Linked DNA regions of Callithrix jacchus. The protein of the gene in region 6 purifies or fractionates together with the protein of the main gene of each other region. This does not show direct contact. Links are inferred from orthologs where the notes say so. Each region holds a gene or a part of one and is shown on either strand. Other genes may lie near its edges.

Evidence for each region.
Region 1: the proteins of DDX6 (region 6) and DCP1B purify together in Homo sapiens (affinity purification with mass spectrometry; 6 studies listed by BioGRID and IntAct, counting the BioPlex papers as one, with this or other methods). This does not show direct contact. The link is inferred for Callithrix jacchus from reciprocal best matches to the Homo sapiens genes DDX6 and DCP1B.
Region 2: the proteins of DDX6 (region 6) and ATXN2 purify together in Homo sapiens (affinity purification with mass spectrometry; 6 studies listed by BioGRID and IntAct, counting the BioPlex papers as one, with this or other methods). This does not show direct contact. The link is inferred for Callithrix jacchus from reciprocal best matches to the Homo sapiens genes DDX6 and ATXN2.
Region 3: the proteins of DDX6 (region 6) and LSM12 purify together in Homo sapiens (affinity purification with mass spectrometry; 5 studies listed by BioGRID and IntAct, with this or other methods). This does not show direct contact. The link is inferred for Callithrix jacchus from reciprocal best matches to the Homo sapiens genes DDX6 and LSM12.
Region 4: the proteins of DDX6 (region 6) and LSM14A purify together in Homo sapiens (affinity purification with mass spectrometry; 4 studies listed by BioGRID and IntAct, with this or other methods). This does not show direct contact. The link is inferred for Callithrix jacchus from reciprocal best matches to the Homo sapiens genes DDX6 and LSM14A.
Region 5: the proteins of DDX6 (region 6) and LSM14B purify together in Homo sapiens (affinity purification with mass spectrometry; 4 studies listed by BioGRID and IntAct, counting the BioPlex papers as one, with this or other methods). This does not show direct contact. The link is inferred for Callithrix jacchus from reciprocal best matches to the Homo sapiens genes DDX6 and LSM14B.
Region 7: the proteins of DDX6 (region 6) and EDC4 purify together in Homo sapiens (affinity purification with mass spectrometry; 4 studies listed by BioGRID and IntAct, counting the BioPlex papers as one, with this or other methods). This does not show direct contact. The link is inferred for Callithrix jacchus from reciprocal best matches to the Homo sapiens genes DDX6 and EDC4.

What each region holds. Positions count from the first base shown.
Region 1 is NC_133510.1:15,181,058-15,184,836, forward strand, and holds part of DCP1B (mRNA-decapping enzyme 1B), read right to left. Parts: intron 2,967-3,779; coding exon 2,718-2,966; intron 733-2,717; coding exon of another isoform or gene 667-732; exon of another isoform or gene 438-666; intron 1-437. UniProt on the Homo sapiens protein: May play a role in the degradation of mRNAs, both in normal mRNA turnover and in nonsense-mediated mRNA decay. May remove the 7-methyl guanine cap structure from mRNA molecules, yielding a 5'-phosphorylated mRNA fragment and 7m-GDP.
Region 2 is NC_133510.1:114,460,474-114,464,722, reverse strand, and holds the start of ATXN2 (ataxin-2), read left to right. Parts: upstream 1-1,390; 5' UTR 1,391-1,646; coding exon 1,647-1,876; intron 1,877-4,249. UniProt on the Homo sapiens protein: Involved in EGFR trafficking, acting as negative regulator of endocytic EGFR internalization at the plasma membrane.
Region 3 is NC_133506.1:70,883,379-70,887,157, reverse strand, and holds part of LSM12 (protein LSM12), read left to right. Parts: coding exon 1-91; intron 92-1,410; coding exon 1,411-1,506; intron 1,507-2,058; coding exon 2,059-2,185; intron 2,186-3,338; coding exon 3,339-3,431; 3' UTR 3,432-3,779. UniProt on the Homo sapiens protein: Nicotinic acid adenine dinucleotide phosphate (NAADP) binding protein. Confers NAADP sensitivity to the two pore channel complex (TPCs) by acting as TPC accessory protein necessary for NAADP-evoked Ca(2+) release.
Region 4 is NC_133523.1:30,894,953-30,899,497, forward strand, and holds the start of LSM14A (protein LSM14 homolog A), read left to right. Parts: upstream 1-1,477; coding exon 1,478-1,598; exon of another isoform or gene 1,599-1,881; intron 1,882-4,545. Other genes in the region: uncharacterized protein LOC144580722, read right to left, coding at 1,108-1,479. UniProt on the Homo sapiens protein: Essential for formation of P-bodies, cytoplasmic structures that provide storage sites for translationally inactive mRNAs and protect them from degradation. Acts as a repressor of mRNA translation. May play a role in mitotic spindle assembly.
Region 5 is NC_133506.1:57,684,520-57,689,079, forward strand, and holds the start of LSM14B (protein LSM14 homolog B), read left to right. Parts: upstream 1-1,697; 5' UTR 1,698-1,928; coding exon 1,929-2,055; intron 2,056-3,684; coding exon 3,685-3,848; intron 3,849-4,560. UniProt on the Homo sapiens protein: mRNA-binding protein essential for female fertility, oocyte meiotic maturation and the assembly of MARDO (mitochondria-associated ribonucleoprotein domain), a membraneless compartment that stores maternal mRNAs in oocytes.
Region 6 is NC_133511.1:18,428,916-18,432,694, reverse strand, and holds part of DDX6 (putative ATP-dependent RNA helicase DDX6), read left to right. Parts: intron 1-2,100; 5' UTR 2,101-2,368; coding exon 2,369-2,568; intron 2,569-3,779.
Region 7 is NC_133521.1:25,412,367-25,416,145, forward strand, and holds part of EDC4 (enhancer of mRNA-decapping protein 4), read left to right. Parts: intron 1-42; coding exon 43-230; intron 231-298; coding exon 299-426; intron 427-517; coding exon 518-671; intron 672-1,000; coding exon 1,001-1,434; intron 1,435-1,520; coding exon of another isoform or gene 1,521-1,532; coding exon 1,533-1,637; intron 1,638-1,721; coding exon 1,722-1,874; intron 1,875-1,954; coding exon 1,955-1,991; intron 1,992-2,126; coding exon 2,127-2,568; intron 2,569-2,668; coding exon 2,669-2,784; intron 2,785-2,883; coding exon 2,884-3,049; intron 3,050-3,136; coding exon 3,137-3,323; intron 3,324-3,403; coding exon 3,404-3,623; intron 3,624-3,779. UniProt on the Homo sapiens protein: In the process of mRNA degradation, seems to play a role in mRNA decapping. Component of a complex containing DCP2 and DCP1A which functions in decapping of ARE-containing mRNAs. Promotes complex formation between DCP1A and DCP2.

The DNA.
Region 1 (3,779 bases), on a different chromosome or scaffold from region 6:
TAACAGCTGGTGGTTTTTAATTACATGTGTGAATGTTATGTGGGGTTGAGGCAAGGCCGGACAGAGCTGCTGGTTTTCCACGGTCAGTATGCACAGTAGCAAGAGCTCATTACATACAGCACAGGTGGGCAGCCGAGCCACATGGCAGCATGGAACAAGGTTTACTCAAGAACAGCCTGGGTCTGCAAAGATAAGGGGCCCCAGCAGACAGAGGAGTTAGGAGGACATGATCCAGGTGGTGTGTTTTTTTGTTTCTTGTTTTTTTTTTTTTTTTTTTTTTTTTGGTTTTTGACACCGGGTCTCACTCCATCACCCAAGCTGAAGTGCAGTACTGCCATCATAGCTCACTGCAGCCTCAACCTCCTGCAGTCAAGTGATCCTCCCACCTCAGTCTCCCAAGTAGCTAGGGCTACAAGGTGTGTGCCACCGTACCTGGCTTTTCTTTGTCAGTTTTTTGTTGAGACAAGGTCTCACTATGTTGCTCAGGGTGGTCTCAAACTCCTGGCCTCCCCAAGTGCTGGGATTACAGGCATGAGCCACTGTGGTGTTTAAAGGCCCTCCACGTTACCTGCAATGGTTTTACTTTGTTTTGGGCATTACTGAGCATTTTACTTCCAACATGCTTCATCAGTACTTCATCAAAGTCCACGTAAGTCTTTCCATAAGTTATGGAAAGTTTCTGGCCTTGGCAAGTGGGCAGGAATAAGACTGGTAGTCTCTGGGCTCTTTTGCCTGGCAAAGAGTGGGAATCATGGTCTAATCAGTGGTTTTCTTCATTTTTTAATTCTAGAGACTTCTCCCTCCCACTCGAATTCTTTACAGCATTAGTAATTCACCCACACTTCACATTCCCCCTTCATTCCCTCTTCGCACCCCACACAGAGTTAGCATTATTTTCATGCAATGAAGAGAGTGATGTTATCCCTTTTTTTCCTACAAAGTAGTCACAAAGTTCCTATGCATGAGACTGCATCCTAACAAGAGGCAGAGACTAAAAACAGATTGTGTGAGTGACTGGGAAGATGAGGTCTAGTACACAGGAAGAAGTAAAACGCGTTCCGACAGTGGAAGGAGGGGGAATGGAATTTCTAACCAGCCGTGTTCAGCAACTACTCTGGATTATCAGAGTCTCAAGACAATGTGATCTGAATGGAATGAGCCAGAAAAACATATGAACCTTTTAAATTCAAACTTAAGAAATTTGCTCAAAGTAAAGAAGTTCATAGATGTCCTTTCTAATTCCTCATGAGCTTACCATGAATAGCTTTAAAAGGTGGCAAATATTTTTATCCTGATATTTATTTATGAATTAGTGAGGCTCAGTTATTTGCTGCTGACCTTCTTTGTATCTGATTATTACACTTCTGCTGTTTTCTAGTCCATTCCTTTCATTCTCTCTCAAACTGTCTCCTTTGTAGTCTCGCTATGTTGCTCGGGCTGATCTTGAATTCCTGGCCTCAAGCAATGCTCTCACCTTGGCTTCCCAAAGTGCTGGGAGTACAGGTGTGAGGAGCCACTGCGCCTGGCCAACATGTAGGCTTTTAAAAAATGTTTTACTAATAGAGACCACTGTCTTTTTGAGTAGGACAGGACAACCGCAGAAGGGCTAGCCTGCTCTCTAGAGGCCACTTTGATGTTTAAGCAAAGTGCCACAAAAGTTTTCTTAAAGACTATCTACTAAAAAGACATCTAAATACATTAACTGGGGTGTCTCAAGTCTGTCTGGCTACAAATATTCCACTTTTCAAGGCCTACCATTTATTTTTTGGGTGTGCTTTGCTAGGGCCCCTGTGCTGAATGTTCTCCTGAGGCTGGTCCCTGGTAACATTCATGTGGAGAGTATGGCCCACGGGAGAGCATATGGGAAGTGGCACTCCGGGGGCCAGGCTAGGGGCCTGCATGGTAGCAAGAGCTCATTACATGCAGCATAGATGGGCAGCCGAGCCACATGGCAGCATGGAGCATCCCCGCTGTGTTATGAACAAGCTGTGTGCCTCACCAGTTGCTTAGCCTCACTTTCCGTTTCTGCAGAATGGGAAAAATAACAGGGTTGTTGTGTAAGGAGTGAATGAGTTAATATGTGTGTGGCACTTAAAACAGGGCCCGGCACCAGCTCTATGGAGTGTAAGCTATTACTGTACTCATTATTATTTCACAATTTCATAGACAAGTGAGACGATGGCTCACAAGGAGTCTTGTCGCTCCATCCCATCCTAATGAGCAGATTTCAAAATGACTTGTAAAACGCACCTGCAGCAGCCACAGCCATTACTTGCTACCCTCCCTGTTTTCCACTCGCTCAGTGACCTGTTCCCTACTCGGCAGACGGCCCCTTGCCCAGGACTGCTCCCACCTCTACTTCCTAATGGTGAGTTTTCTCTCCAGGCCCCCGGCAGCACCCAGGGTCCTCTCAGGGACTGCTTAATCACCAGCGTATGCTTCCTTCTCTTCTGATAGGTGACAGCTTGGAGACCTTAGACAGTCCTTCAAATGACAAGATCCTTGAAGAGCTGAGACATCCAAAGCCACACTTGGTATTCTAAATAGCACCAAGCTAAACGAGCACAGAAGCCACTGGGGTCAGGATGAGTTGTTACACACACACCTGTTATTCTCACGGAAGCTAAGCAGGCCATGGCCAAGTCTTTATCTGAAAGTCACAGCCAGGAGGCCAACAGGTGTGGTCAGGTGCAAAGGGAGATGATGTGATGGCTTACCTGAATGAGGTACAGCAGTGTTTCCTGGAGCTGGAGCTTGGTGAGTGGGCTGCTGGTGATTACGGAGGGCTCTGGGCTCTGCATGGGCAGGAGGAGGCTGGTGGTGGCAGCAGGCAGCTCCTGGCCTCCCACAGGCAAGAGGCCGCTCTCCCTTTCTTTTGGTGGGACGGAGGTGGATTGTGTGAACACCATGGGGGACATGAGCAGAGAAGGAGCTGCTGTAGCAGGGATGCGCTGAGGTGAGATGACCTGCTCATAGCAAATACACACAGGGGTGGGGTCAGGAGCAGCTCATGGCATGACAGCTTGCAGCAGTGGATGCAGGTGATCTAAGCATTCCCTGTGCACAGCTTCCCTAGCCGAGAATAGTCTACGTGTAACTGATTCTTGTTCCACTCTCTGTGCACCTTCCTCTGGCATCACTGAGCAGCTCTGGTATGGTCTGCTGTGGTGACTGCTGTTCCCTCTGCATATGAAGCTTGGCCTCTGAGTGACAGTTTATTTTTAAGGCTGACTGTCAGTATTTGGCAACATGCATTTAGGACTACTGACCTTCTCCTCAGACCTGGCTGTCCATGACTCTGACTTAAAGGTCTCCCAACTTATGTGAGCTGCCACCCTTACTTGATAGGGGCCTACCCATTTCCCCTCCTGACCCTGGAGCACAGGAGGTGCTGTGACAGCAACTCCCTGCCCCTCCTGCAGCCTCATGCACTTCTCTTTGGGAGGGAGAGTGATGTGTGGCTCCACCCTTTCTAGGTCCCTCCCTGACAGGATCTGCCAGCCTGCAGAGAGCCCGCATCTTCAGCTTCTGCAGCTGATATGTTGCTGTTGCTCAGCCCTGCCACGGCCTTGCCTATCTGGTGAGTCTAACTCCCTTGGCAAACAGACCTGAAAGCAAGTTTTCTAACAGCCCTTTCAGTTATGCAAGTGACATTTTGATCCTTAGCTGACTGACTCCTACAGCTATCATTTGCTTCTAACTCAGGGGAAAAAAATGAATGTTATTTATCAGCCTCCTGACTCCCCAGAAGAACTCCTGAGAGGGAGGCACAGAGGCCA
Region 2 (4,249 bases), on a different chromosome or scaffold from region 6:
TTGTATTTTTAATAGAGATGGGTTTTCACCATGTTGGCCAGGCTAGGTTAATTGTTAAAGAGTTTTGCGACAGTCTCTCTTTAGATGGGAAATAAAACTGATTTCCTACATTGGTAGAATACAATGATCATTTTTGCCTGGACTATCTAGGAGTTTAATTTCATTTGGGCTACTGAAAACTGCTGGTTTAATCATTCTCCATGTTTTTCTAGGTCTTTATCTGGACAATTCTAGGACATTGAAGGGGAATTTTGGTGTTTCTTCCTCTATTAATTTCCTGAAGTCATTTCACTCAAAAACACTAGATTGGCTGCTCAAGATAAAAAAAGTTATCTACTTGCTTCCAGTTTACTTGCAACACATTTTATAAAGGGTCTACTCTGCTGGCTGGCTAAGTTAAATTAAAACTTATAAAGGGTACAAGGTCTAAAGTTCGCACGTTCTTGTGAGGTCTGCTTATTCTCAGCTCTACCAGTCTCAGTCCCGTATATTTCCTTCAGAATCTCGTGAATGAGGAAAAAGTTCAGATGAAGGTCAGATACCTAGAAGAGTTTTCGAGGCTGGGATGAAAAAAGTGGGGAAAAGGTACCCAGATGTGGGTGGCCCCGGAGGGTTTCTCCACTCCAGCCTCAGCAGGACAGCATAGCGCGGCCTGCCTGGAAGGTTCCCAGAGGCACTGGAGAGCCTAGTGTGTGCCCGGCAGGAAAACGGCGGGATGGTGTGCCCCCTGAATCTGGCAGGGTTGTAGGTGCTTTACACGTAGAAAGATAAATTCTCCACTCCAAAGAACTCGCAGTTCATTTTCTGGGTTGCATCAGGTGGGGGCAAACGAGGTCCCTGCAGGAGTGTGAGGACGTTGAAGGAATACACTGGGGGAAAAAATGCTTCCCTGCCGTTCTCCACACCAGGCAGGCCCCAGAGGCTAAGACCGACACGCCCTCCCCGAAGGGCAGACCCGCCTCGAGAGGGCGGACCTGGGAAGGGCCTGCCGCCTGGCCCTCACCCGACCCCCGCTAACGCGGACCAGCGGTGCGCCCGCTCTTCACGTGTCCCTCCCGGTCCCGGGTCCGCCTAACGATTTGCTTCCGCCCGACTCCTCCGACTTCCGGTAAAGAGTCCCAATCCGGCATCCCCGTGCCCACCCGGCGCCTCGGCGCACTCAGCCTCCGATGCGCTCAGCGGCCGCACCTCCTCAGAGTTCCGCGGCAGCCACCGAGCCTCGCCGTTTCGCCGCAGCTAGGTGGCCCGGGGGGCGCTCGCTCCCGCGGCCGGCACGGCGAAGCGGGCGGGGCGGCGGTGGCGAGGTACCGGGCCCGTATCCCTCCGCCGCCCCTCCCCCGCCCGGCCCTGGCCCCCCTCCCTCCCCGCAGCGCTCGCCTCTCTCCGCCTCAGACTGTTTTGGTAGCAACGGCAACGGCGGCGCATCCCGGTCCGGCTTCCGGCGGTTCCTCGGTCTCGGCGGGCCTCCCCGCCCCTTCTTCGTCCTCCTTTTCCCCCTCGTCAGCCCGGGCGCCCCCCCGGCCGCGCCAACCCGCGCCTCCCCGCTCGGCACTCTCGCGTCCCCGCTGCGCTCCGGCGACTCCTCGGCGCGCCCGGCTCCCGACTGTCCCCGCCCGGCGTGCGAGCCGGTGTATGGGCCCCTCACCATGTCGCTGAAGCCCCAGCAGCAGCAGCAACAGCAGCAGCAGCAGCAGCAGCAGCAGCCGCAGCCGCCTGCGGCCGCCAATGTCCGCAAGCCCGGCGGCAGCGGCCTTCTCGCGTCGCCCGCCGTCGTGCCTTCGCCGTCCTCGTCCTCTGTCTCCTCGTCCTCGGCCACGGCTCCCTCTTCCTCGGCGGCCGTGGCGACCGCTGGCAGCGGGAGGCCCGGCCTGGGCAGGTGGGTGTCGGCACCCCAGCCCCCTCTGCTCTGGGCCCGGTGTCCCTTCCCCCGCGGCTCGCGCGGCGGTCCCCGCCCCATGACCGGCAGGGCTGCCCGAGGTGGGCTGGGGGCTGGCGGCGTGTGGGGGACTCGCCCGGGCCAGAGTCCCGAGGCTCGGCTGGGGGGCGCCGCGGGGGTCTTCTGGGATTGTCAGGCCTGTCCAGCCTCCCGCAGCATCCCCGCCCCCTCCCCCAGCGGTCAAGATGGAGGGAGCCAGCGGCCTCCCCTCCCCACGCGTGTTGGGAGGAGTTCTCGGGTCGCGGCTGTGGTCACCCCTGGCTCCCCCTTTCGCACGCCCCCTCCTCCCGCAGCAGGGGTATGCTTGGGCAGCGTCCCACCCCCAGTTTAGGTGTGAACGTTGGAGGGGTCTGGAGGCTTTGGTGTCGTTTTCCGGAACATGTCGTTCCCCCATCGTGGGGGACATCTCAGAAGGGGAGAAGTTAGGGCCGCGTCCCCCGTGCGCGTTAAAGGGGTAGGCACTGGGCTCCTCCGGAATCATCAGGGTCTATCGGGGCTCCTCTCCCCGCCCCCTCCCAGTCCTGGGAAAGATCGGAAGACTGGGTGGAGACAGGTGGGCCTTGGCCCCCGCACCCCTCCCCGTTTGATTCCGAGGCTGCGGCGGGGGCTCCCGAACTCCCGTGGAATCTTGGGGCTCCGTGCAGCCTCCTGCAGCGTTCCGCCTTACCCCTCCTAAGGAAGGGAAGGGGTGGGGAGTGCCCGGCCTCCATTCTTCCCCCGCCTGGCCTGTCCGGCGCGCGGGTGGTGGCCGATCCGCATTGCTGTTCCGAGGCTGCGGTGGAGAAGGCGCCTGTGAACAGTGGTGGGCGAGGGCCGGACCCAGGCTGGATCCGGGAGATCCGGGGCGGCGGTGCTGGTGGCAGGGAGCGGGTGCCCTGCGCACTTTTCCCAATCCCCGCCCCAATTTCGGAAATGCTAGGAGAGAGAGATTGCAGAAGGGGACGTGGTGTGGTTTCTGAACGCAGAAATGTTTATTGGTGTCTTTTTCCCACCTAAGCCGGGGTTGTGATAGAGACGGGGCGAGGGATCAGTGTTGTCCTGGCTAACTGGTTTTGACTCTGGAGAGTGTGTTCGTGCAGGAGGTCCTATTGAGGGTGGCGGGGGGTGGTGATTGTCAGTTCGTATTTCACGAACTAAGAAAATGCTTAGTGTTCAAACGGAGAAGCAAATGTCAATAGACTCCATTCCATTGTGGCCGGTGTCCTTAACTTCGGGAGTGCCGCCAGAGCTTACCAAGGGCACGCAAGTCCATTTCCCCTGTGCCCCAAGTCTATCCGTGTTGCAGGCGCTACTGTGCCTCCCTTAGGCCTAGGCCGCCGGCTTGGCAGGGCCAATGACTGGCGTCCTCCTTAGACATCTTGGGTTTTGGAAGGTGGGATAAGAGGATTTTTCACGCACCTGAGTTTTCTTTTTGAACACACATTTTCAGCAATCCATTTCTAAATAATTTTTATTTACAGCTTAAGTTCCCCATCAAGAGGTATCAGCTGGTTTTTAAGGAATTCTCTTGCCTTCAATGGGGCCAGGGGCTGAAATAGTCTTCGGTTATTTGACTTACAAGCCTCGTCCCGTCCCCGCCCCGCCCCCCCCCCCAACTTCTCTGAGTCTGAAGCATCCCAGCCACTACTTAGCCAAACTAGTTCAGGTGAAGTGATCATTTCCCCTCATAGAGTAACTTCACTTTCCCTTTTTTGTTGGCATCTAGTGAGGAATGAAAAAATTTTAAGTACAATTTTTATAGAAAATGATGCATTGTTTTTATTTTCTTAGGTATTAGAAGGAGATTTGGCAGATATTTTCAACTTGTTCAAATACATACAAATTAAAACTAAGGATTTTAAATTGCATTGACTCTTAGGCTTAAAAATTAGATTATAGCAGAATTTGCTTCAGAATAGCTTGAGTGATGAGAGATACTTGGAATGTTTTAGTTCCACAAGGCCTTTTTCTGTTCCTTGAGGCTTTACAACAATTTAAGATTAATTTAGATTTTTTTCCTTGCTTTACATTCTTTTACTCGAGACCTAAATGGTAGCCTTTATTCTTTTTGATGAATAGGTGAAATTTTATTTACTGTGTTGGATTTGTATAATGTGAAATTTATTCTTGTGCAGATTGTTAATGTACTTGTAGAATTACTTTGAATTTTGAATCACTTTACTGCTTTCCTTGTAAATAAGTTTCAACTTCTGGAATCGCCTCACTTTGGTTTGTGTATCAGCAATGAAAATAAGTTTCTGAGAGCAAGGGTGAAATAAGAAAATGCAGCGTTGGGTTTGACAAGTTTTGAGATAGCAAAATATTCTTGAAAGT
Region 3 (3,779 bases), on a different chromosome or scaffold from region 6:
CGGAGAAGGAGGAGAAGCTGAGCCAGGCCTATGCAATCAGTGCTGGTGTCTCTCTAGAGGGCCAGCAGCTCTTCCAGACCATTCACAAGACGTGAGTTAGGGGACTGGGAGGTCCTTCGTCCTGGGGTAATGCTACCTGATTGTGCTGTCTGATGGCAGGCTTTTGGGTGGTTGTCTTCCTAAAAGTCTACTGGGGAAGCTGGGAAGGGTATTGGCAATATGCTGGCATCCAGAGATACAGGTGCTGTTGCCCACTTTCCACACAGAAGAATAGTGTAATCATGGACAAGTTGTCTTCTCTGGTCCTCAGTTTCTTTTCTGTAAAACTTAGTTTTAGATTAGATCATCCCTAAGAATCCCTTTTAGACCTAGTAGTCCATAATTTAGAACTAGTGAATTTCTTTCTCTTTGATTTTGTTGTTTTGTGCCTTTCTCTAAAAGCTGATGCAGTTTTTATTAAGGATAAATTATATCACTTTTCCCAATGTAGATTGGGATGAACACAGAGAGTTAGAGTAGGCCACCTTCTTATCACCTCTTAAAAGACATTTTGTCACAGCAGAAGTCATTTGACTCTCCACTAGCTTCCCTAGCTGCTGCAAAACTGGAACATTTGATGCCCCCCTCCATCCCCCCCCACTGCCTTCTGTTCCCCTATTTAACCACCCTGGGTCTGGTGCACAGATGACAGCTGGCATCAGAGCTGTTTGAGGCCATGGTGTGAGTATCTGAACATTTACAGGTATGTGAAGGAACTCTCAGTCGCATCAGCTGCCCTGGGGCTCCCCAAGTGTGAACTGGAATGGGTTTTCCCAGTCTGGCAAGTGCCCAACTGTCTGATAATTGAGTGGAGCCAGTCTGAGAAGCAGCTCCCATTGTGGGTGATAAGGGTCAGAGTACAGATCATAGTAAGATGGGGAGTTTGTTTTCTATTTTTTTATTTTTGAGATGGAGTCTCGCTCTGTCACCAGGCTGGAGTGCAGAGGTGTGATACCGGCTCACTGCAGCCTCTGCCTTCTGGGTTCAAGCGATTTTCCTGCTTCAGTCTCCCGAGTAGCGAGGACTACAGGCATGTGCCACCACATCCAGCTAATTTTTGTATTTTTAGTAGAGATGGGGTTTTACTATTTTGGCCAGGATGGTTGCCTTGATCTCTTGACCCAATGATCCGCCCTCCGTTGGCCTCCCAGAGTGCTGGGATTACAGGCATGAGCCATCACACCTGGCCTTCTTTTTTTTGAGACGCGGTCTCATTTTAATCGCCCAGGTTGGAGTGCAGTGGCACAATTTTAGCTTAATATAGCCTTGATCTCCCTGGGCTCCAGTGATTCTCCCACCTCAGCCTCTGGAGTAACTGGGAGTACAGGCACATGCCACTGCTACTGGCTAATTTTTTGTATGTATTTTTAGTAGAGATGGGTTTTTGACATGCTGCCCAGACTGGTCCCAAACTCCTGGAATCAAGCAGTCTACCTGCCTTGGCCTCCCAAAATGCTGGGATTACAGGTGTGAGCCACCACACCCAGCCTGTTCTTTCTAAAGGTGGTATTTTTCCCTAGACCAATTGTTAGAAAACTATACCAGCAGGCCAGATCTGCTCATCTGTTTACTTATTGTCCATGGCTACTTTTGCACAACTATGGCAGAATTCAGTGCTAGTTGTAACAGAGAGGATATGGCTGGCAAAGCCTAAAATATTTGCTAAGAGACCCTTGAGAGAAAAAGTTTGCCAGCCTCTGCCCTAGGCTGCTATCTTAGTTGGGTTTCTTGAGGCTGCCATCACATTTTTATGACTTTTCAGGTCTCTGATGCTTCATTGTAACAATTTCTGGGCTCTCCCAAGAATAAATGTGCCTGAGTTTCATTGGTTTTCTAGCCAGTGGCACCCAAGGAATGTTTCTTGGCTACTCTGTGGGCTGCTGGCGTCTAGTTGTTGGCTTAATGGTGAGCTGAGAACTTGGTATCAGCCTTCTGGAATTATTTATTCATCAGACAGGAGATGTGGGATGCCCCCAAAAGGAGGTTACATGTATTTTGACTGCTGTCTTCTCCATCCAGCATTAAAGACTGTAAATGGCAAGAAAAAAACATCGTAGTCATGGAAGAAGTTGTTATTACACCCCCATATCAAGTGGAAAACTGTAAAGGCAAAGAGGGAAGTGCACTGAGCCATGTACGCAAAATAGTAAGTAAAGGAGCCTTGAAACTTTAGGGGAGAGAGAATGGTTCTTCCGGCCTTCAGTCTTTAGCACCAGAGCAGGACACTGTGCTACAGTCTCTGCCTCCCCTTGCAGCCCTGTGTGGTCTCCCTGACTTTCCTGTACTGTGGGGTTCTGCAGCTGTGGCTTGGACACTCCTGTGGGAGAGGAACCATGGGGTGGTGTGGAATGAAGTGAGTGGTTGACCCAATGTTCTTTGCTGGCTTTTTAGAATTAGCAAGGCCATTCCATGGTATTGGGCCTGAGCAGTTTCTCTTTTCCCATATTGGGTTTTTCTTTTTTAGAGACAGAGTCGCTCTGTTACCCAGGCTGGAGTGCAGTGGTGCAATCTCAGCTCACTGCAACCTCCGCCTCCAGGGTACAGGCGATTGTCCTGCCTCAGCCTTCCGAGTACCTGGGACTACAGGCGTGCACCACCACACCCAGCTAATTACTGTATTTTTAGTAGAGATGAGGTTTCACCATATTGGCCAGGCTGGTCTCAAACTCCTGTCCTGAAATGATCTGCCCACCTTGGCCTCCCAAAGTGCTGGGATTGCAGGCATGACCCACTGTGCCTGGCCCCATACTGGGTTTTTCTTAGCTGCAGGCATCCTTCTAGAAAGATCTGGTTGGTATAAATCAGTTGCCATTGGTGTCTCTGACCCTACATTTATCACTGGACTTTAGATTGAGTTATACCATTTGTGAAAACAAATTTCCAAAACACTCCTGCTTTTTTTTTCTCTGAGGAACATTGAGAGACCAACATTGTAGATGCAGGAAGTGTGGTAAGACTGTAATTCCCCCACCAGCTTTTCATTCTGCACTTCTGTGTAGAAGAGAGGAGGAATTTGGTCATGATAATCTCCTCTCATTTTATTGTTTAGTTTGTATAATCACCCTCTTCTAGCCAGTCTTAGTGGAAACTGCAAAAAATGTGGCTGAAGCAGGAGACTCTGGCCTACCTTGTGGTTGGAAAGGCCAGTAGACAGCAAGGACAGGGGTGCCTGGCTAGTGCATAGGCTGGACAGCCAGGGCAGGGCTGTTGAAACCTCGGTTGGATTGTTTGGGACCTTTCTTGTTTGTACCTTTCTTGCCCATCTCCTTTACTGATCTTGGTTGCTTGGTCTTTTTCAGGTTGAAAAACATTTTAGAGACGTGGAAAGCCAAAAGATACTGCAACGTTCACAAGCCCAGCAACCACAGAAGGAGGCTGCCCTGTCATCCTGAGTCCATACACATGGAGGACTCTTCCAGCATCCAGCCAAGGAGGCGCTGGTGGTGGCTTCAGCGGAGGCAGGCCGGGGGAGGGAAGGGATCCTATATGTCCTGTTGGCTCTTGTTAACAAAGGGTCAGCATTTCCAAATCTTAGACTTGAACAAACAAAACACCCAACAAAAAAGAACAAGAGAATAATTTAAAAGTTGAATCATTACTTGACTAACAGACTTCGGTCCACCATATCCTTTTCACAGCCCCCTTCTGGAACAGTCACCTTGTTAATTTTATTTTTGAAAATTCCTTTCCCACTCTGCCCTTCTGACTTTCCTTTCCTAGTCTGTTCCTGCCATTCTGTT
Region 4 (4,545 bases), on a different chromosome or scaffold from region 6:
TTATGTTCTAATGAAAGAGACAGACACATACAAATAAGTAAACATACTTGAGAGAGATACATGCTATGAAGAAAATGCAAACTGAGTTAAGGGGATGTAGAGTGATGTGGGTGGTATTATTTTAAACAAGGTTGTCAGGGACGTCATCTCTGGAGGTGATATTTGAGCAGAGATTGGAATAAAGTGTTCAAATACTAGTTGAATTAGACGTGACTGGAACAGAACGAGAAGCAAAATCATGCATGTCCTTTGAAGCAGTCTGGTTTCCTCTCTGTGTAACATGGGATCAGTAGAGTGAGTAGAGAAAGGACATGATCTGAGTTCGATTTTAACAAGTTCTCTCTGGCTGCTGTGTTGAGAATAAACTAGAGGGCAAGGGTTGACACAAAAGCAACTTTTAGAAGGCTGCTGCAATAACTTAGCCAGAGTAATCGCGGCTTGTCGTGCAGCTGTAGGGATGGAGATGAGGAGAAGGGGTCAGATTTAGGAAATATTCTGTAGACATAACAGAGGTGTACTCAGAACAGATGTGGAGGCAAGACAGAGGTCAAGGCTGACTCAAGGCTTTTAGTCTGAGCAGCTGAGTAAAAATGGTACCTGTTACATCAATGGGGAACGGTGGTGAAGGAGCAGGTTAGAGGAGAAACAGGGAGCATGGCTTTGGACCCTTAACGTTTGAGATACCAATTCCACAGAAATCGGAGTTCACGGAATTGATCCAAGTTACAGACTGATACTTGGGATTGGTGAGTTGCAATGGCGATGCAAGCCATTAGGCTGGTTCAGACCAGATGAACGAGCGGGACAGGGCGAGCTGAAAAACTGGGTCCTTTTGAGAGCCCCAGCTCCAGGAGCAACCTCAGGGGAAACTTCCTGGGCGATGGCTGCGGTAATGGAGCCGTGGAAGCTCCACGAGGTACAGGTTCAGCGTCTTAAAAGGATGAGCAGCGACTCGCCAAAGCTCGGAGGCAGGTGGGTGGGCAGCGCTCCAGACGGGGGGCCTCGCGTCGGCAAAGACACGGGACCCACGACAAAGAGGCCGCGGCCTGGGTCAGGAGGGCCGCGCGCCTCCTCTCCAGCCCTCAGCGAGCGGGTGCCACGAGGCACTCAGCAAGTCCCCGAAATTCCTCTCACGCTGCCCCAGGACTGCCGTCGTAGCCCAGGTAAATAGGCGCTGACAGGACTCCCGAAGCCGCCAAGCAGTCGGGAACCACCCGCCACCTGCCAAGTCTCGCGAGGGCGCGGCCTCGCCCTCCCAGCATGCTCCGCGCCGCCGCCGCTGCCGCCGCGGCCGCCGCCGCGCCGCGACTTGAGGGCGGGAGGCTGGGGGAGGGTAGCGGAGCCGGCACCGTCGCCATGTTGGGTCTGAAGCGGCTGCTGTAGGCGCCGACCTAGCGAGCGGGCGTGCGGAGCGGGCGACAGCGGCGTGGGATCTGCCTCTCTGCGAGCGGCCCGGGGCGGCGGCGGCGGCGGCGCCATGAGCGGGGGCACCCCTTACATCGGCAGCAAGATAAGCCTCATCTCCAAGGCAGAGATCCGCTACGAGGGCATCCTCTACACCATCGACACCGAAAACTCCACCGTAGCCCTCGCCAAAGGTACGTGGGACCGGGCCTCGGGGTGGGGGTCGGACCGGGCGCCACTCAAGGCTGCTCCCCGCTCCGGCCCTCAGCCTCCTGGCTCGCTCCTTCCCCTCCCTCCGTGGAGCTCCGGGAGGCCGCTCCCCTCCATTCTCCGGGCCCTGGCGTCGCGGGCCGGACCGCGGCCTCCCCGCGTCTCCCTGGCTTCCGCCCCCCAGGAAGGTCCGCGCCTGAAGCACGGGGAACTACGGGACTGAGTACGCGGCGGGCGGGCGTGCGGGCGGCCCTGAAGTCCGACAACGGGCGGGAGAACACGGAGAAACGGGTCTTCCAACTCCGAGATTCGGGAGTTCTGTTGTCTTAGCACAAAACAAAGCCCGAGTATTCAAAGAATTTTTTCGCCCAGCTTGAGTTCATCGTGGATGCGTTGACTCCACAGCACCCATTTTCTCACTTTATTCATTTCTGTTCGTGGCGATCTTCCTCAGGAGAACTCTGAGTAATGTGCTAAAACTTTGGGTTTGCTCTGCGACGCAGACATTTTCGAAATGCCATCGGTGCAGTGGAGCAGATCCCATCTCCCTCGGCTCATCCTCTGTTGGTATTTACCTGTTAAACCGGAATTCTCAAAGCCTGTTGTGCAACCATCTTCATTAGAGCGTGCGGTAAAAATGTTTGCTGCTTCCCGGACGCCCCTGCTTCTGGAAACGAGTTCAAGCTTGTCCGGGACCCTTCTTGATCCAGGCGATCTTGACCTTTGATCCAGGCTCAGTGGGCATTGACTGAAGGCTCGTTGGGAAAGGGAATTCTGTCGAGAAGGAAGGTGCCCCTACCCATAGTATTAATATTTGGCATCCCTAGAGTCTGTGTGGGTTTTGTTTCCGTTCACACGTGCAGGGCCTTTGCTCCTCCAGGAAAGCAGAAAGAAAATAAACGTTAGCTCCTGAATCTTAAGGAAATCTCACAATAGTGTAAAATATTTTGGGGGAAGCTAGATAACCTAGGTGATTTTCCCAGCGCTTCTGGTAGAGGTGGGAACTGCATAAGCATGCTTAGGGATCCTCTAGATAGGTCATAGGTACAAGGATAAGGAAGATTTTCATAATCTGTAAAATTTTTTAAATCTTTAACTGATAGGGGAGTGGTTTCACGGAATCAAGTATTTCAGGACATTTCTTTGGATGCTTTGGTAAATCCCTTTTTTTTTTTCCTCTCTCTCCTTCCCCTGAGATGGAGTTTCGCTCTCTTTGCCCAGGCTGGAGTGCTGCAATGGCATGATCCCGGCTTACTGCAATCTCTGCCTCCCGGGTTCAAGCGATTCTCCTGCCTCAGCCTCCCAAAGTAGCTGGGATCACTGGCATCCGCCACAGCGCCCTGCTAATTTTGTGTTTTGAGTAGAGACGGGGTTTCACCAGGTTGGCCAGTCTGGTCTTAACTCCCGACCTCAGTTGATCAACCCTCCTGAGCCTCCCAAATTGCTGGGATTATAGGCGAGAGCTACCACGCCTGGCCTCTGGTAAATCTTTTTAACAGCCCTAGTACTGGAACAAATTTTACACCTGGGTAGGGAACCTTGATGTTATAGAACTGTACACAGTAAGGGAGTAGTACGAGATGGCTACAGTTGCACAACTCTGCAGATTTGCTGAAAATCATTGAATTATACACTTTGAAATCACCAAGTCTAATTTTAAAAGTGTGAAAAACCAGGGAGTACCCCTAAATTTCCCTGTTCACCTTGTGAAACATTGTGTTGTGACACATTACCTCATTAAAACAACTGTAGGAGGCCGGGCGCGGTGGCTCAAGCCTGTAATCCCAGCACTTTGGGAGGCCGAGGCGGGTGAATCACGAGGTCAAGAGATTGAGACCATCCTGGTCGACATGGTGAAACCCCATCTCTACTAAAAATACAAAAAATTAGCTGGGCACGGTGGCGCGTGCCTGCTAATCCCAGCTACTCAGAAGGCTGAGGCAGGAGAATTGCCTGAACCCAGGAGGCGGAGGTTGCGGTGAGCCAAGATCGCACCATTGCACCCCAGCCTGGGTAACAAGAGCGAAACTCCGTCTCAAAAAAATAATAAAAATAACTAAAAAAAAAAAAAATAAAACAACTGTAGGCTTAGGGCTTTGTCATCTTTTTAGACATCCACTATACTTGAGGATGTATGATGGTGTTTAGTGGTTATTAAAGACTTTCCCAGTGATACTTCTTAAGTAACTTAGTTTTTGATTGGCCTTATTTTTTATTTTTTAATAGTAGATATTTAGCTGTGTAGTATTTTTCTGGCTTTATGAAATTATGAAAAAGCCTCTATGAAGTTATGAAAAGTGCTGGATCAGAGCCAGATATGGGTTGAAAATAATTTCTCATTAAAGTTGTTTAATAAATTTTTTTTAAGTGTTGCTTTGCCTAATCTGAATTTAAAGTGTCTTGCCAGTTTAGTGACTCAATAAATTGGCTGTGCTATCTTCACGCCTCACAAGGAAAAAAAACATACATTTGAAAATTTCTGAAGTATTTTCGTTCTTTTTTAAAAACTATGAACATATCCTTTTATGCAGGAACCCCAAAAGTCTACACTTTAACCCACATTTTAAAAACTTTTAAGCAGCTTTGAGTCGATAAATATTTCATTAGTCTGTAATAGTTAAATTCATTCGACATAAAATATAAATTTGTTTTTTGTGTCATGACTTGATAAATATAGGAATAGGGCAGTAAAAAAAATTTTTAATCATTGAATTTTATGTTTGAATTCGTGGCTTTGATATTTCATCCCACACCATTATATGCTTTTTTTTTTTTTTTTTTTTTTTAATGAGATGAAATTTGCACTCTGTTGCCCAGGCTGGAGTACAGTGGCACCACCCTGGCTCCCTGTAATCTCTGCCTCCCAGGTTCAAGCAATTCTTCTGCCTCAGCCTCCTGAGTAGCTGAGATTACAGGAACATGCCACCACAC
Region 5 (4,560 bases), on a different chromosome or scaffold from region 6:
TTGGCCAGGCTGGTCTTGAACTTCTGACCTTGTGATGCACCCACCTCTGCCTCCCAAAGTGCTGGGATTACAGGTGTGAGGCACCATGCCCGGCCTGTTATTTTCTTTTCTTTTTTTTCCCCCTTTAGAAATGGGTTTTGCTGCCACCCCTGAGTGCAGTAGTCTGATCACAGCTCACTGTAGCCTCCAACTCCTGAGCTCAAGTGATCCTCCTGTCTCTGCCTCCGCCTCCCAAGCAGCTGGAACTACAAGTATGTGCCCCCACACTCGGCTAATTTTTTTTTTAAGTTTTTTGTAGCGATGGGGTCTCCATATGTTGCCCAGGCTGATCTCAAACTCCTGGCCTGCAGTCATCCTCCCTCCTTGGCCTCCCAAAGAGCTGGGATTACAGGCATGAACCACCACGCCACACCTTCTGATATTTTTTATCTTACTCTATTTCATTTTTTAAATTTATTTTTGAGACGGGGTCTGGAGTGCAGTGGTGCCATCTCTGCTTACTGCCACCTCCACCTCTCAGGCTCAAGCGATTCTCCTGCCTCAGCCTCCCCAGTAGCTGGGATTACAGGTGCCCACCACCATGTCCAGCTAATTATTTTTGTATTTTTAGTAGAAACGGGGTTTTACCATGTTGCCCAGGCTGGTCTTGAACTCCTCACCTCAAGTAATCCACCCGCCTCCGCCTCCCAAAAGTCTGGAATTACAGCGTGAGCCTTGGCTCCAGGCCTATCGCGTTTTTATAGTTACCACCCACGATTTTTTTTTTTTCCGGAACCCAATATTGGTCCCTGATCTGAAGATGTTCACGGTCAAGAGGGAGACTAAAAAAGCACACACCGCACGCCCTCTGTCACTAATCACGCGGAGGGCCCGCGGCTAAACGACTGCGGGCGGCTGAGCTTCCTCCACGGCCGGGGAGGTGGGCAAGGCCTCTGAGCCATAGTCCCGGGGACGAGCGGAGGCCTCCGAGGCCCCCGGTAGCCAGTCAGAATTTATTTTAGTGGAACTGGAAAGCTGCGGCAGGCTTTCGGAGGAGTGGCAGGATTAAAAGAGAAAGTGTGCTCAGCATGTTATATTTAGTGGCTGCCACGCCGGAAGCGTAGCCGTCGCAGGAGTTGCCGCCCCCCGCCGGCACCTGGGCACCCGGGCGGGAGTCCCGGGACTCCCCGGGAACACCCGGCGACCAGGGCCTCCGCCGGTCCCGGGTCTCCCACGAGGGTGAGGGTCAGGGGCGCAACTGGCCCAAGATAAGGAAGTCGCCTTGGCCCCACTTCTGTAGGAGGAGAAACTGAGGCCAAGGGGGCAAAAACCCCTAGTTGGCCGTGCCCAGGCTCCGGGGCCACGCCGGCACACGCGAGGGCGGGGCCTGGCGCTCCTCCCAGGCCCCGCCCACCAAGCGTGCAAACAGCGGCCGCCCACCCACGCGCACGCGCGCTCCGTCCAGGACGCTTCCCACCCCTCCCCCGGACTGCTGAGTCTCTAGTGCCCAGCTCCGTGCAGGGCCCGCCGGGAGCTAGACGTGAAGGGGCGGAGCGCCGAAAAGACCCGCCTCCGAGCAGCGGTGCCTTGTTGCGCAGGCGTGGCGCGCGGGCGCGCCCACAGCTGGCGGCGCGGCCGTATTTAAAGGACGGCGGGCGCAGCGAGCCAATGGGCGGCGAGCGCGAGGGGGCGGGGCGTAGCGGCTCGAGGCCCCGGATGTGGATGCGGCGGCCCCCTCCTCCCCCGCGTTCCCCTCGGAGTCCCGGCCGAGAGCCCTTCCTGCTCGGTGCCCGCGCAGGCCCCTCGGGCGGCGGCGAGGAGGCGCTCCGGCGGCGGCGGCAGGGCGGAGGAGCGCGGGAGCGGGCGGCCAGGCCACCGCGCGGTGGCGGAGCGGGCCGCGGCCCGGCGCTTGTTCCCTCCCGGCGGCCCAACGCGCCCCGGCCGCCGCCATGAGCGGCTCCTCAGGCACCCCGTATCTGGGCAGCAAGATCAGCCTCATCTCCAAGGCGCAGATCCGCTACGAGGGCATCCTCTACACCATCGACACCGACAACTCCACCGTGGCTCTCGCCAAAGGTAGCAGCCGCCGCCTGCCCGCCGGCCCCAACCGCCCGACGACCCCTGTCCGCCAACAGCCCCGGGGCGCTCCAGAGCCCTGCGTTGAGACCCCCGTACACCCAGAGCCCAGCGCCCAGACCCCGCCCGCAGAGCGTCCCCGCGCCCGGCGTTGAGACCCGCGGCCCGCGCCTTCACCCGCTCCTCGGGGCGCCGCTCCCGTGCGCCACCCTCCCCCAGCGCGGCCGGCCGCACAATGGTCTCCCTGGGCGGCGTTTGGGGAGGGACGGGCCTGGGCCCCGCGACGCCGCCCCCTCGGCCGCCCAGCCCGGTCCTGCCGGTGCGGGCCCCGAGGGCCAGGGTGGCTCCCGGCAGTGGGGCTGCTCCCTGCCCGCCTCGGGTGTCCCTGCGGGGAAGCCTCGGGGCCGGGGGGCGGCGTGACCACGCGCGAATCCGGCGATCCTTTCTGGAACCCATCAGACAGTTGGGGCCTTGAGCGAACGCATCCTGTGCTCTAGTGCAGCGTGCTGCCCGGGCAGGAGCACCCGATGCCCACCGTGTGGCTTTCCCTGTGGTGGCAGCCGCCTGTGGGCGCTGGGAGGCTTCGAGGCAGGGGCTCTTCTCTGACTCCGGAGGGCCAGACGCTGAGGTTGGGGCAGCGGGTGGTGCAGTCCCTTTGTCTTCATACCCCGAGAAGATGGGGAGTGCCCTTCCCTGCCTCTCAGCGAACGGTGCGAGTGCAGCCGGGACTGCCTAAGTCCCGTGTCTGGGTCTGGCGCTCGGCTCCCCGGGTTCTTGAGGGGTCAGACGCGTCTGAAACGCCGCTTGGGTCACAGGACGCACTCATCCCAAACTGGGACTGTCAGCTTTTGGAGCCCGTCTCCTGCGTGGCTCAGGAGCTCGCGGAGCGTGCCAGGGCTGGGCACTCACTGCAGGAGAGCCCAGCGAGGGACGCTGAGCTCCAGCGTAGGCCCAGGACTCAGCAGGAGTGGTGCTGCTGTCCCTCCCAGCTCTGCCCCTGGAGGCCTGCTAAAAAGAGACTCGGTGGGGCTCCTGCCAGCCTGCTGTTTAGGGGCTGGTACCCCAAGAAGTCCCTCGGGCTCAGAATTCCTTAGAGGTGCGGAAGCTGGGGTCAGGGGTCCGCAATCCCGGCACTCTGTCTCCCTTGTTTCTGTGGCAGCTGTTCCAAGGCTTGTTGTGGATGGAAGGGTAAGGGGAACACTCGCTCGTCTAGGTTCCTTTGCCCGAAAACTATCCCCTCCCCCCGCCCTCCAGGCGCAACTAGTGGTGAAGCTTCGGACATAAAGCAGCAGGCTGGCCGTTTGATTCGCAGAGTCTGGAGTGAACAGGAAAGCCTTGCGAAGCAGGCCTTGTTTTGCTGAGAGCTCTGTGTTCGCACAGGAGACAGCGAAATAGTTCTTGTCATCTTTGTGATATAGAACCGTCTGGAGCTTCACCAATTGATGCGCAATCAGCATTGTACACTGAAAATGGGGGTGTTAAGTAGATGTTGAAATGTGGAGCTGGGGTGCTGTGTTGTGGCTCTGAGCAGGTGCCACCGTCTTCTGGAAGGCTTAAGAGCAGTTGCGTGAGGGTTGACTGAACTGGCTGAGGACAACACCTTAACGCTTCTCTTTCTCCACTCGTAAGTGAGGTCCTTTGGCACCGAAGACCGTCCCACAGATAGGCCTGCTCCCCCCAGAGAAGAGATTTATGAGTACATCATTTTCCGGGGAAGTGACATCAAAGATATCACTGTGTGTGAACCTCCGAAAGCTCAGCACACACTCCCGCAGGATCCTGCCATTGTTCAGGTAAGTGTGCCACTGCCCCAGTGTGCACGCTGTGAGAGATGCTGGTCTCCACATGGAGCGTGGTGGCATGTCGGGTCAGGTGCTCAGTGTGAGGGAGGAATAACCTTTTGATTTAAAGTGGCTTAGCTTTTGTCCAGGCTGTTGCTGTTCCGACAGAAGGTGATTCTTGTAGTGCACAGTAGGTGGCCTGTGCTGTGTAGCATGGCTCTTAAGGATGGAGAGCTGGGGAGCCTGGTGCACACATGCATGTGTGTGTGTGTGTGTGTGTGTGTGTGTGTGTAGAGTGGATGTTCCGTGTGTATGTATAGTGTAGTGTAGTGAATGGATGTTCTGTGTGTGTGTGTAGTGAGTGGATGCTGTGTGTGTAAGTGTAGTGAGTGGATGCTGTGTGTGTGTGTGTAGTGTAGTGAGTGGATGCTGTGTGTGTGTAGTGTAGTGAGTGGATGCTCTGTGTGTGTGGTGTAGTGAGTGGATGCTCTGTGTGTGTGTAGTGTAGTGAGTGGATGCTGTGTGTGTGCGTGTGTGTAGTGAGTGGATGCTCTGTGTGTAGTGTAGTGAGTGGATGCGCTCTGTGTGTGTGTGTGTGTAGTGAGTGGATGCTCTGTGTAGTGAGTGGATGCTGTGTGTGTGTGTGATGTAGTGAGTGGATGCTTTGTGTGTGCATGTGTGTGTGTAGTGAGTGGATGCTGTGTGTGTGTGTGTAGTGTAGAGT
Region 6 (3,779 bases):
TGGCCAACTTGATGACACCCCGTCTCTACCGAAAAATACAAAAATGAGCCGGATCTGTTATCTCGGCTACTCGGGAGGCTGAGGTAGGAGGATCACTTGAACCCAGGAGGCGGAGGTTGCAATCAGCTGAGATCGGGCCACTGCACTCCAGCCTGGGCAACAGAGTGAGATCCTGTCTCCAAAATAAATAAATAAATAAATAAATGTGAGATTTCCATTTACAGGATAATTTTAAAATGAGGTTGGCCATTTTTGTTTTGTTTTTGTTTTTGAGGCAGAGTTTTGCTTTTTTGCCCAGGCTAAAGTGCAGGGCGCCATCTTGACTCATTGCAGCTTCTGCTTCCTGGGTTTTAGCGATTGTCCTGCCTCAGCCTCCCAAGTAGCTGAGATTACAGGTGCCTGCCACCAAGCCCAGCTAATTTTTGTATTTTAGTAGAGACAGGGTTTCACCATGTTGGTCAGGCTGGTCTCGAACTCCTGACCTCAGGTGATCCACCAGTCTGTGCCTCCCAAAGTGTTGGGATTACAGGCCTGGGCCACTGTGCCCATCTGCCAGTTTTTTTTGTTTTGTTTTGTTTTGTTTTAAGTATTAATTAGATTTACTACTCTGGGTTTCTTGGAAAGTTTTTTTTTTTTTTTTTCCAGATGGAGTCTTGCTCTGTCACCTAGGCTGGAGTGCAGTTTTGCCATCTCTCCTCACTGCAACCTCTGCCTCCCAAGTTCAAGCAATTCTCCTGCCTCAGACCTCTGAGCAGCTGGGACTACAGGCACATGCCACCATGCCCAGCTAATTTTTGTATTTTAGTAGAGACGGAGTTTCATCGTATTAGCCAGACTGGTCTCAAACTCCTGACCTCATGATCCACCCGCCTTGGCCTCCCAAAGTGTTGGGATTACAGGCATGAGCCACCGCACCCAGATGGAAAGTTTTCTTTAAATTACTAATGCGTTTAGTCTTTCATGGATTTTTTTTTTTTTTAGCACAGGAATTTTCCTGTTTAATTAATACTATGTAAAATCAGATTAGTTATTAGCTGAGTTTGTTATAAATGAATAAAATTATTAGAGTCATCTTGTTTTTGTCAGTTTCAAAAAAAAAATAATAATTTATACAAAATTTGTGTGTATCATGTGTCCTTAGGATCATTACTTGCCGAATACATTATGGCAGAAATACACTATTCTCTTGACTGTTTCCTTTATTGTTTTAAAGGACAAAAACAAAAGAGAAAAGAAAATACATTTTTCTTCAAGTTTGTTTTGTTTGAGACAGGGTCTTGCTCTGTCACCCAGGCTGGAGTGCAGTGGCATGATCTCGGCTCACTGCAGCCTCCACCTCCTGGGATCAAGCCTCCAGAGTAGCTGGGACTACGTTACAGGTGTGCGCCACCACGCCAGGCTACGTTCTGTATTTTTAGTAGAGATGGGGTTTCACCATATTGTCCAGGCTGGTCTCAAACTCCTGACCTCAAGTTATCTCCCACATTGGCCTCCCAAAGTGCTGGGATTACAGGCATGAGCCACCATGCCCAACCTATAAAGTTTAATAGTTGAAATTCATAAGGGCACAACGGTCTATTTTTTTTTTTTTTCTGAGAAGTGTAAAGTTCAAGTCAAAGCTCACTTAAATCTATAGGGACTCTCAGTTGATATTAGAAGTAGAAGAAAATTAATGAATTGTCTTGTCAAATACAGGTTTACACTAAGTAAATTGTGTGATACTTCAGTGAGTTGTAATGCAATTAAGTATAATGAATCACTGACTTTCAGAGATGTCAAAGATTCAGCGAATTCACTGGGGAGGAAACTGAAGAGAAGAGATTGTCATTTGACAAGTAGTACTAATTTACTCGTGTCTTTCTACCTAATCTTCTCTAGGTTGCTTTGAATTAACAATTTTAAATGTTTTAGATTGGCTTCATTGTGTTTTTGAAATAGTTCAAAGTTGTGTCTTTCCAAGCTTGGCTAGTGATTTGGTCTAAGTAGCTATAGTATTAAATCTTTAATGTAAAAGATGAGAGTTCTTCTAAAGGGATTCTTTTGAAAAGAAAACAGTTTTTCTGTTGAGTTTACTGATTTAATTTTGTTTGTTTGTTTCAGATTGACGTGAGTGAATTCAAATATAACTCAAGCTTGTTAGAAGGCTTTTTCAAAATAAAAAGTTGATTCCGTGCAAGAGAGCAAGTTACTGCTGCTTACCGTTCAGAGACTTAACAGGTGCTTGCCTGCATTGCAATAAAGGACTCATTTATTGAGCAAGACATATTTATCTCTTCATTTTGGAGAGCCTAATAAACTGTTATTACAGTTTCTCTACTGACTTTCAAAAGTTTTGAAGTTTGAAAGACATCTTTGCAACTAAAACAGCATGAGCACGGCCAGAACAGAGAACCCTGTTATAATGGGTCTGTCCAGTCAAAATGGTCAGCTGAGGGGCCCTGTGAAACCCAGTGGTGGCCCTGGAGGAGGGGGCACACAGACACAGCAACAGATGAACCAGCTGAAAAACACCAACACAATCAATAATGGCACTCAGCAGCAAGCACAGAGTATGACCACCACTATTAAGTAAGTGTTAGAATAAATCATAAACACTCTTGGGGAACCAAGATTTTTGTTTCTTTGGTGTTGACTATTAATACTTATACCTGAATTTAACAGTTTTGATTACAAATAGAGGATAGATTACTTTGTTTTATGGCCAGTAGGTATTTGCAATAGAATAGTGTGTTTCTGCCATAATTTTTCTAGCAAGTAATGATTCTAAGGACAGATGACATACACAAATTTTGTATAAATTATTTTTTGAGACATTTCTGGCTTTCATAATTAGTGAAGAAGTTATGGCCAGGCACAGTGGCTCATGCCTGTAAACCCAGCACTTTGCGGGGTCCAAGGTGGGTCACCTGAGGTTGGGAGTTTGAGACCAACCTGACCAATGCGGAGAAACCTCATCTCTACTAAAAATTCAAAATTAGCTGGGTGTGGTGGTGCATGCCTGTAATCCCAGCTACTCAGGAGGCTGAGGCAGGAGAATCCCTTGAACCCAGGATTCAGAGGTTGCAGTGAGCCAAGATCGAGCTATTGCACTCCAGCCTGGGCAACAAGAGCGAAACACCATCTCAAAAAAAGTTATTAGCTGAGTTTGTTATAAATGAATAAAATTATTAGAGTCATCTTGTTTTTGTCAGTATAGTTTTTTTTTTTTTTTTAGTGTCCTTAATGACTGCACCTTACCCTAGTTAAATAGCAGATAAAGCCAAATTTAAGTTTTAAATTTAAAGGCTCAATTAAATTTAAAGGCTCAATCTGAGTCTTTAGCGGCTTTAAAGACTTGCCCAACCTTCCGAACTCCAAGCATTATTTACTCATAGAAAATTCACTCATAATTTTTTTTAGCTTATGGAATTTAGGATTTTCACTTAAAAAAAAGCTGGCCGGTTGAGGTGACTCATGCCTGTAATCCCTGTACTTTGGAGAGGCCTCCCTCAAGTGGATCACTTGAATCCAGAAGTTAAGAGACAAGCCTAGCCAACATAGCAAGACTCTGTGCCTACCAAAAATAAATAACTAAATAATTTTTTTTCTTTTACTCAGAGACAAAAAGGGAACTAAGAATTGAACTCACAGAACACAATTGTGAACAGTCTCAAAAACTTTTTGTTAACTTTAAAATTGAAGCACCTCCTTACTAGAGGGCATTTTTCCTTTTAAATTAAGCTGAAATTATGTAGGCTATTTGTCACTTTTAAGTGCATGCTTTAAATTACAGTATTTGA
Region 7 (3,779 bases), on a different chromosome or scaffold from region 6:
CCAGGGTCTGAGATCTGACTCAAGTGGCAACTTGTCCTACAGCATTTGGAGAGTCTCGGCCTGAACTGGGCTCTGAGGGCCTGGGGTCAGCTGCTCACGGCTCCCAGCCTGACCTCCGACGAATTGTGGAGCTGCCTGCACCCGCCGACTTCCTCAGTCTGAGTAGTGAGACCAAGCCCAAGTTGATGACACCTGATGCCTTCATGACACCTAGCGCCTCTCTGCAGCAGGTACTCTCCCAAGGTAGGGGGACCTGGGAATGCCCCAGCCACAGCTCTCATTCCCTGCATCTCCCCAGATCACTGCCTGTCCCAGCAGCAGCAGCAGTGGTAGCAGCAGCAGCAGCAGCAGCAGCAGTAGCAGCAGCTCCCTTACAGCTGTGTCTGCCATGAGCAGCACCTCAGCTGTGGACCCCTCCTTGGTCAGGTGAGGCAAGGGTCAGAGATGGAGGATGGCAGGGACTTGTGCCAGGTGACACCAAGCTCTGGCTGCTGACACCTCAGTCTTCCCCCACCAGGCCACCTGAGGAGCTGACCTTGAGCCCCAAACTACAGCTGGATGGCAGCCTGGCAATGAGCAACAGTGGCAGCCTGCAGGCAAGCCCTCGTGGCCTCCTGCCCAGCCTACTCCCAGCCCCAGCTGACAAACTGACTCCCAAGGGGCCAGGCCAGGTATGTGAATGGGTGTGTGTAAAGTGTGGGGAGTAGGTGGGTGGCAGCAGGAAAGGTGGGTGGTGGGCTTCTCCCAGCCCCCTGCTGCTGGTCCTGCTCTTCCCTACGTAGTCCATGTTTTCCTGAGGTCATCTCACCCTCCTATGTTTCCTGGAAGGTTTCTCCTCAGCCTCCCTGTCCCCACTTTCTCTTCTGGGCTATGGCCCCGTTTTTGACTGTCCCCACTTCCCTGCTGCCCTGTCTCTCATTACTAATACTAGTGCCTCGTCTCTGTGTCCCCCATCCCTGCCTCACCTGTCACTTAAGCCCCCATCTTTGGCCCGCCTTAGGTGCCTACTGCTGCCTCTGCACTGTCCTTGGAGCTGCAGGAAGTCGAGCCCCTGGGGCTACCCCAAGCCTCCCCCAGCCGTACCCGCTCTCCTGATGTCATCTCTTCAGCTTCCACTGCCCTGTCCCAGGACATCCCTGAGATTGCGTCTGAGGCCCTGTCCCGTGGCTTTGGCTCCTCTGCACCAGAGGGCCTTGAGCCAGACAGTATGGCTTCAGCCGCCTCAGCATTGCACCTACTGTCCCCACGGCCCCGGCCAGGGCCTGAGCTCGGCCCCCAGCTTGGCCTTGATGGAGGCCCTGGGGATGGAGATCGGCATAATACCCCCTCCCTCCTGGAGGCAGCCTTGACCCAGGAAACCTCGACCCCTGATGGTCAGGTTTGGCCCACGGCACCTGACATTACTCGTGAGACCTGTAGCACTCTTGCAGAAAGGTGAGGAGCTTGGGAGGAGAAAAGTGTGCTAGCTAGGAGGAGGCTTTAGGAGGGGCTTCAGATAGAATCATCCACTGCTGAGTCAGCCTGTCCCCCAGCCCCAGGAATGGCCTTCAGGAAAAGCACAAGAGCCTGTCCTTCCACCGACCACCGTATCACCTGCTGCAGCAACGTGACAGCCAGGATGCCAGTGCTGAGCAAAGGTGGATGCCACCCTATGCCATTGCCCTCATGGAGGGGTGGGCAGCAAGTGGGCAAGGGCTTACCCCTCCTTCCCCTTCCCATAGTGATCACGACGATGAGGTGGCCAGCCTTGCCTCTGCTTCAGGAGGCTTTGGCACCAAAGTTCCTGCTCCACGGCTGCCTGCCAAGGACTGGAAGACCAAGGGATCCCCTCGAGCCTCACCCAAGCTCAAGAGGAAAAGCAAGAAGGATGATGGGTAGGGAGGAGTCCTAGGGAGGGGGGAGGATGGTCTCCAGGCTGCCTGACCTAGCCTGAGGTGCTTCTCGCCTATGGCAGGGATGCGGCCATGGGATCCCGGCTCACAGAGCACCAGGTAAGTAAATGAGTGCTCTTTGTACTCATGGGAATTTCACCCTGTGAGGATGGGGAAGGGCTCTGGGCCATTCCCTGGTCTGGTTTGTGGGGATGGGTGGGGCAGGCATCATGTGACTCTCAGTGATACTGGCAGGTGGCAGAGCCCCCTGAGGACTGGCCAACGCTAATTTGGCAACAGCAGAGAGAGCTGGCAGAGCTGCAGCACAGCCAAGAAGAGCTGCTGCAGCGTCTGTGTACCCAGCTCGAAGGTCTGCAGAACACTGTCACAGGCCACGTAGAACGAGCCCTTGAGACTCGGCATGAGCAGGAGCGTATCCTTGAGGCTGATAGCACAACATGGCATAGGGATGGGGGCAACATTCTTGGCCTGGGAAGGAGTACACAACCTGCTCCAGGCCTGTTCCTTAGCTATGGTGCAGAGCGGCGGCTGGAGCGAGCACTGGCTGAGGGGCAGCAGCGGGGAGGGCAGCTGCAGGAGCAGCTGACACAACAGTTGTCCCAGGCACTGTCTTCAGCTGTAGCTGGGCGGCTGGAGCGCAGCTTACGGGATGAGATCAAGAAGACAGTCCCTCCATGTGAGTTTTGCATACAGACTCCCTTTGGGTGGTTCAGGTGGGAATAGGGGTACCTGTCAAGTTTCTCCTAGCTCCACCTTCTCCTATTCCCCTCTCCCAGGTGTCTCAAGGAGTCTGGAGCCTGTGGCAGGCCAACTGAGCAACTCAGTAGCCACCAAGCTCACAGCTGTGGAGGGCAGCATGAAAGAGAACATCTCTAAGCTGCTCAAGTCCAAGGTGCTATAGGGCCCAAGATGTGGGTGGTGGTGGTGGTTCTGGCCTAGTCAGGCCAGGCTGCGCTCAGGCTTTCAACTTGGCCCCTCCCTCTAATTCCAGAACTTGACTGATGCTATTGCCCGAGCAGCTGCAGACACATTACAGGGGCCAATGCAGGCTGCCTACCGAGAAGCCTTCCAGAGTGTGGTGCTGCCAGCCTTTGAGAAGAGCTGCCAGGCCATGTTCCAGCAAATCAATGATAGCTTCCGGGTGGGGACACAGGAATGTGAGTGGGGTCGTATGACCCAAGGTGGGAACGACTATCCTCCACTTTCCTACTGTTCCTCTTACACTCCCTGTGGTCACTCCTCAGACTTGCAGCAGCTAGAAAGCCACATGAAGAGCCGGAAGGCACGAGAACAGGAGGCCAGGGAGCCTGTGCTGGCCCAGCTGCGGGGCCTGGTCAGCACATTGCAGAGTGCCACCGAGCAGATGGCAGCCACTGTGGCCAGCAGTGTTCGGGCTGAGGTGCAGCACCAGCTGCACGTGGCTGTGGGCAGGTGTGTGGGCAGGGTGGTGGGTTTGAGGAAGGCCAGATTGGGCTCCCTGTCCACTTCACCTCACTCACTTACCTTTGCAGCTTGCAGGAATCCATTTTAGCACAGGTACAACGCATTGTTAAGGGTGAGGTGAGTGTGGCGCTCAAGGAGCAGCAGGCTGCTGTCACCTCCAGCATCATGCAGGCCATGCGTTCAGCTGCTGGCACACCTGTCCCCTCTGCCCACCTTGACTGCCAGGCCCAGCAAGCCCATATCCTCCAGCTGCTGCAGCAGGGCCACCTCAATCAGGCCTTCCAGCAGGTACGATAGGTGTTAGGCCCTGGTAAGGGTCATGTGTCTCTTGACAAGGCCCACACACCATACATTCCACTCCACCCACCAGGCTTTGTACCTTCTGGACCCCTTTCTTCCCACCTAGACCACCTTGCTTTACAACTACCCTTCTCAGGAACCATT